2 linked regions of the Oryzias latipes genome follow. The protein of the gene in region 1 purifies or fractionates together with the protein of each later gene. This does not show direct contact. Links are inferred from orthologs where the notes say so. Each region holds a gene or a part of one and is shown in the gene's direction. Other genes may lie near its edges. The genes, in order: uncharacterized protein LOC105354722 and cep97.

The links.
Region 2: the proteins of uncharacterized protein LOC105354722 (region 1) and cep97 purify together in Homo sapiens (co-immunoprecipitation; 4 studies listed by BioGRID and IntAct, with this or other methods). This does not show direct contact. The link is inferred for Oryzias latipes from reciprocal best matches to the Homo sapiens genes KIF24 and CEP97.

The regions. Positions count from the first base shown.
Region 1 is NC_019867.2:12,035,644-12,039,469, reverse strand, and holds part of uncharacterized protein LOC105354722, read left to right. Parts: intron 1-65; exon of another isoform or gene 66-653; 5' UTR 654-742; intron 743-822; 5' UTR 823-904; coding exon 905-1,626; intron 1,627-1,746; coding exon 1,747-1,909; intron 1,910-2,073; coding exon 2,074-2,171; coding exon of another isoform or gene 2,172-2,175; intron 2,176-2,298; coding exon 2,299-2,517; intron 2,518-2,611; coding exon 2,612-2,699; intron 2,700-2,998; coding exon 2,999-3,120; intron 3,121-3,514; coding exon 3,515-3,620; intron 3,621-3,704; coding exon 3,705-3,776; intron 3,777-3,826. UniProt on the Homo sapiens protein: Microtubule-dependent motor protein that acts as a negative regulator of ciliogenesis by mediating recruitment of CCP110 to mother centriole in cycling cells, leading to restrict nucleation of cilia at centrioles.
Region 2 is NC_019879.2:10,880,613-10,883,673, reverse strand, and holds part of cep97 (centrosomal protein of 97 kDa), read left to right. Parts: intron 1-1,096; coding exon 1,097-1,198; intron 1,199-1,289; coding exon 1,290-1,403; intron 1,404-1,482; coding exon 1,483-1,649; intron 1,650-1,736; coding exon 1,737-1,901; intron 1,902-2,008; coding exon 2,009-2,181; intron 2,182-2,273; coding exon 2,274-2,883; intron 2,884-2,974; coding exon 2,975-3,050; intron 3,051-3,061. UniProt on the Homo sapiens protein: Acts as a key negative regulator of ciliogenesis in collaboration with CCP110 by capping the mother centriole thereby preventing cilia formation. Required for recruitment of CCP110 to the centrosome.

The DNA.
Region 1 (3,826 bases):
ATTGCATTTTTTTTGTTTTTATGTACAGCACCTTGAGCTGTCTTTGTTGTCATGAAAGGTGCTACATAAATAAAATTAATTTAATTTAATTTATTGAGGCACTGAAATTGTCAATATAAATCAAGAAATTAAAGTTTATCAAATCAATGAATATTTATTGAATTATTGCTGGCATTGATGTGCTCTGTCTTTAGAGTAAACAATATTTTAAGCCTCTCAGTGGAACCAGCTTGAAGAGGGTTTTAGTCTTGCCATATGGCAACTTTATTTAGGCTTATGGGTAATCTACAGTAGGAGTAAAGTGTTGCTCACCCATGTTATCTATATTTATCTTATTTGCCACTGTAAAGAAATGTGTGATGACTGCACAGTGCTGCTTTGGCACTGTCCTGCACAAGTATCAAATTTCCACCACTGCATTACGCCACTGCATGCTTTGCCTAGGACCAAGCGAGCATGCCGGTTGCAGTGACAAAGTGAGAGACCATTGGCTGTAATTCTGAGAGAAATCCTTATATTTAGTTTTTCCAGCATACCTACTAGGTTGTAGTTTTTTAATTAATTTTGATCCATGAATATGCCACCTGGCTGGGCATTGTTTTTATCTAATGTGACCAGTTAATGAAGAAACCAAAATGTATTTTTTCTTCTAGAGAGCAGCCGGAGAATAGGCATGAGATGACATGACCTTTTGGTTGTACGGGTGTTTGAGAACCTTTGGACTAGAACATCACTATGCTAGGTGAGTAAATGTAGGACATCAGCGGAACTGGTCTTTCATTATCTAAAACTGTTTTCCTCTTTGTCTTTTACTGCCTTTAGGTTCATTTTGTTGGGTGTTTTTCATGCAGACCACCTTTGAGCATTGAAAATAGAGGATAATCCTCTCCTAGGAATTCGCTCAATGGAAGATTGGATCCAACTTTTCCATTTGGTCAACTTTGACAAAAATATTAACCCAAACTACGGATGTGATGCTCAGGACTTTATACCAATAAATGGGAAACTCAGTCAAAATTCCCATGAAACTTCGGAAGACAAAGTGAGAAATAAATGTAGAAATTCTCAGGAAATCACGGATACGTTACCTTTTAATGTTTGCAGACGTCTCATCTTAACTAATGAAAACTCAGCCAACGTGAGGCTGTTGTCTGGTCTATCTAGTCTTACACTATCTAGTCCTGTTATTTATGTCAGTCAAAGTCATGATGTAGAAGATGGTTCAATGAAAGTAAGCAGATTGAACAAACCTGTACAGCTTGAGATTGATGGCAAACATCTGGGAAAATGTGTCCGGAGAAGGACTAAGAAATACAAACTGGAGGATAATCGTTCTCTGGGTAATGATCATAATAATGACACCATAAAGTCAGAATTAACAGGAGGAATTCGGAAGTTTAACTGCGATACCATATCAACAAAGAACAGCAAGATATTACACAGCCCTGCACACGTGACACCAGAGTCGTGTAAGAAAACATTTGAAAATAAATGTACAAAAGTCTCCACAAAAGAGAAAATGTTGAATTCAAGCTTGACTAAGCCCCCACCTGTACATGGAGCAAAGACAACAAACAGCTACAGCAATATTCAGGCCTGGAGTTCTCCCTTTGCTTCAAACAAAAAGTAAGTTGCATCAAATGTTGTTACTGCTGTTTTTTGGTTTATTTCTACTTTGTTCTCATTCAATAACACAAAACAAATGCTTCTTGCAGACTTTAAGCTTTTATTTTCTTTGTGTGACAGACAGACTGTTGGGCAACAAATTACTGTTTGTGTGAGGAAAAGACCTTTGTCACATGCAGAGTGCAAAGGAGGAGAAGTTGATGTTGTGACAGCAACAGACGGACAGTGTGTAATTGTACATGAAAGCAAAGAAAGTGTGGATCTTACACCCTACATATTACAGGTAGACGTGCACATAGAGGATGCTGATGGATCCTTGTACTTGAAAAATTTCACACTTTTGTGGGGGTTTTTTCTACATGCACACATGCATTGTTTCATTTGTTAGATGCTAATTTTGTGCCAGTTTTACTGATTTCTTTTTCCATCTTGCCTCTTAAACTGTAGCAAAAGTTTTACTTTGACCATGTTTTTGGGGAGGAAAGCTCCATCAAGGAAGTATATCAGAAAACAGCTTATCCTCTGGTGCAGCACATGTTTAGGGGGTAGGTAAGCACAGATTTGCTCACACTAAAATTGTGCATTATCCACCTTTCTCTCCAATTCTTTTATCAGACTCTAGTGTCCAAATCTCTCTTTTGTTAGCTTCTCGTTTGTGTTATGTGTGTGCAGAGGAAATGCCACATGCTTTGCATATGGACAGACAGGGGCGGGGAAGACCTACACCATGCTGGGGTCATCCGCTGTTACACCTGGTCTATACACTCTGGCAGTTCAGGACATCTTTGCTCACCTGACCACTGCACATTCATACCCACCCCTCCTGGTGTATGTTAGTTTCTTTGAAATCTACTGTAGTCAGCTGTATGACCTGCTGGATCACAGAAAAAGGTGTGATACAAGATTTAATATGCTGAGACTGTTTGGTGATATTCTACATTTAACAAAAGTTTTTTCTCTTTAAACAAATTTCTGTTACATTGAGGTTGTTTGCCAGAGAAGATGGACAGAAAGTCGTCCATATTTCAGGGCTGCGTGAAATCAGAGTGGACTCTGCCAATTCCCTACTAGAGGTTGGTTCTCTCTGCTTTATGTCACGCTCTGTTGCCCAGTTTTTTACTCTAGTTAGCAGCCAGCCATAGATACAACACAAAAATACAATGGAATTTCAAGCAAGGATGAGGAAACCAAAGGAAACAAAGGGTTAGGAAAACAAAACAAAACAAATAAAACGCACAAGAAAGTTTCCGTGAATATAGATTATTCACCAAAAATCATCTAACGTTTGGTTTGTGTAAGTGATATTTACAGAAAATTTGAAAGTTATAAAAAAAACTGGTGTAGGACTTTTCCCTGCCATTACTTTCACCAGGTGGTTTCAAAGGGAACAGCACAACGAACACAAGGAGTGAGTGGTGTAAATTCACTGTCCTCTCGCTCCCATGCTTTACTTCAGATTCAACTGAGAGAGCCAAACCAGCACACAGCGGGAAGGTGAGATACATCAAAAATGTTTTATTACTTAAGCAAAGTTATTTTATTCCATCAAATATTTTTATTTATCTTTTCTGTATAAGTTTTAACTTCACAAAATCTGTCAGATTTGCCAAGACAAAATAGTGCAGAGGTGAACCACAAAGAAAAAGCTGTAATGTATTGTTGTGTGCTTCAGGATCCAAATTGTTCAGCTGTCCCTTCAGTTCCTCTTAGGGGACTAGTGGAATTTGACATCTTTTTTTGTTGTTACTTTTTTCACCCGATGCACAGCAGAATAACTTGAGTAAAAATTGTCAACAAGTTCCACCAGGTTTTAACAGATTGACAAAAAGCTGTCAATAGTTTTGGGAAAATATCAACTGAAAGAAGTTGCTTTCTTGAATGTGTGCAGAATGTGGTTTGTGGACCTGGCAGGAAGTGAAAGAGCATCAGATGCCAAAGAACGAGACAAGCAGAGACGAATGGAGGGAGCAGAGATCAACCAGAGTCTGTTGGCTGTAAGTTTTAAAGACAGATTCTCACTCAGCCAGAAACTCCATAGGATGTCTGAGGTTATAAATCGTTGTTTCTAATCCCTTTAGCTCAAAGAATGTATTCGTTCTCTTGATAAAAAGGCCTCTCACACACCTTTTCGACAGAGCAGGTTGACTCAGGTACTGTGACAGACTTTAAGAATGAGTCAAAAATGCATGTATTTCATTGA
Region 2 (3,061 bases), on another chromosome or scaffold:
ATTTTAGAGAATCATAGTAAATTTTTTGGGAAATAATTTCAAAGGCAAAGGTTTCTTTTATTTTGCTTCCTCCAGCCTTCATTACATCTGGGCTGGATTACTGGAATTCTCTTTATTTTGGAGTCAGCCAGTCGTCCGTCTCGCGTGTCCGGTACGCTGCTGCTCATGTTCTGGTTGGAGCCACATCCTAGCTACCTTTCACTGTCTGCCTGTGGTTTTAGAGCTCATTTAAGATTCTGTTTTGAAATCTTTAAATAATCGTACCTTCATACCTGTCTGAGCTTCTCCCTAAACCCCAGCTTGGTGTCAGGTCAGCCTCTCTTGGACGTGCTGAGGTCAGGAAGAAGCTCAGACTGGAACGAGCGTTTTCACTATGTGCACCGAAGCTGTGGAACGTGTTACTGAGTGCAGCAGGGATCCTCACTGTCCTCATTTGGGGAAAAAAAAACAAAAAAACACATTTTTATAGTCAGGCCTTTGACACAGCATTTTTATTTTACACTGTTTTACTTTAGGTTTACACTTTTAGTTGTTTTTAATGTTTTGAGCTTTAAATGTACACCACCTTGTTCTGACTGTGGTTATCTGAAGGCGCCATATAAATTATCATGAATTAAAATGAATATGAATTTTTTTTGGATTTGTAAAGTTCAAAGTTAAACCTCGATCACCTTTAGCGTCTTTCTCTTGCAGTCGTTTCCATTTGTTTTTCCGTAACTCAGTTTTAAAACCTAAAGCGGTTAAGAGCACAACACTCGTCTTAATAGCTGTAAAATCTGAACACAACTTCCAGTTTAGCTCTCGTTGAAGCAGGTAAACAACACAATTCGTTTTGATCTGTTCACATTATATTTGTCTTTTGCTTTTTTATCTAAACACATTTGCAAATAAACGATAAGCTATGGGCTCCAATAAATTGTTGTAATTTATTTCAAACTCAGCAGGTTCAAAAGTTTTTAAACATAAGTGTTGACATAAATATTGAAGTACATTTTAGGATGGTAGTTGTTTTAGTTTTTCTGCAGTTTTATTTTTCAGGTTGTAAAGCTGAATCCATGGGTTTGAATGGATTTAACAGCACTCTCATGTGTGACAGGTGATTGAACAGCTGTACAGCTGTGTGTCTCTTCAACACCTGGACTTGTCTGACAACAACATTTCCACCATTGGAGATCTGACTAAACTGGCTGCATTAAAGGTCAGCGTTCAAACTGACACTCACGCTTACTTAAAACAACACACCGGCTGTGAAGATGTTTGGTTGGTGACTTTCCCCGTTGGTGCTGCAGACACTTCTGCTTCATGGAAACAGCATTACAACACTCCGCACTGTTCCCGCCCACCTGCCGGCGCACCTTTCCATTCTGTCGCTGGCAGAAAACGAGATCAGGGACCTGAATGAAGTAAGTCCTGGGTTTTGATACAGCTTTCCTTCCACAACGAAAGCATCTGAAAGTCATTTTTCTTCTGATTCGTGTTTAGGTGTCGTACCTGGCATCACTTCATGAGCTGGAGCAGCTGTCCATAATGAGCAACCCCTGCGTTATGGCGACTCCTTCCCTGCCAGGTTTTGATTATCGACCGTACATCATGAGCTGGTGTCTGAATCTGAAAGTCCTGGACGGCTATGTGGTGACTCAAAAAGAAGGGTGTGTACGCTCTAGATAAAAAAAAAAAAAGACATGTTTGAGTGTTTGAAATAATTAATTTGTACTATAAATATTTTTCTGATTCAGTCTGAAAGCTGAGTGGCTCTACAGTCAGGGTAAAGGTCGTTCATTTCGTCCAGGGCAGCACGTCCAGCTGAGTCAGTATTTGGCGACTGTTTGCCCTCTGACTGCATCACCAGCGCTGGAGACGGCAGAAAACGCCAAACTAGAGAAGATCCTCAGCAAGCAGAGGTGAGGATCTCTACTGTTGTTCATCATTCCCTCCATGCTCCTCCTACGAGCATCATATGTAACCATTCTGCATAAAAATATCTCTAAGACTGATGCTCTGGTCTTAGGTTTCATCAAAGACAGCTGTTAGAGGAGACCCAGGGAGGCTGCCTCAGTCCTCCACGTCCAACCCAGCTTGACGTGGAGAGGCACAGCCCTTCACATCCACTAGGGGGAGCTCAAGAGGAGAAAGAAGTCACCACACCAGGACCAGCTGATCCTCCATCAGTCCTGGAGAAGGGTGAGGGGGCTTTGCAGCTCTGTGTGCTAGTTGCTGCTTGTTTGGAAGGAAATGTGAAGTGGATTTTCCTCTTTGCCACCTTTCCTGCTTAGAACCAGTGGTGCAGTTCAACACCTGGGTGAGCTGTGACTCCGCTCATGCATCGCTGCCGGTGGTTCACAGCCAAAGGCTCGCAGAGGAACACATTTATTTGGAGGATGTGCAGACCGATGAGGACAAACTCAACAGCAGCATGCTGTCGTCTGAGTCCGTGTTTCTGCCCTTCACATCAGACACAGACCTGCACACGACCCACACCGACACCGAAGACGAGACTGAGACGTTTGAGCCCGATTCTCTGGCTCTGAAACGGCCGGCACAGCCTAAGACGCACAGGACGCGCCACCCGCCAACAGAGAAACCGGACCAGAAGACTATAGAGAAAGAAGCTGGCGCCATCACACCTGCACCGCCAGCCTTCGGAGCCGGAGCGCCACTCGATGGTCCTGAGGCGTCCACCGACAGAGCAGAAATAAAAGGAGAAGTGGGTTTGTTTTTGAGAAAAACGATGACAGAAGCAGACAAAGCAGCTGTTAAAATCCAGTCCTGGTGGAGAGGACAGCACACGCGATGTTGTCACCCCACTGCTAAAGAGGTGCGCGGTGAAATCCGCCTGCGGAGGATGCAAGATCACATCGTCTTTCTGACGGACAAATTAGAAAAGTAAGTGACTCAACAAGCGTCTGTCACACACATTCACCTCTTTGTTTGAGGTGGAAAGTTGTCCATGAGTGTTCATGCTGTGTTGTCGCAGTGTGCAGAAGCAGCTTGAAGACGAGAGGCTGCAGAGGCTGGTGCAAGAGGAGGCCATGAAGTTCCTCTGGAAAGAGGTTGGCAATTC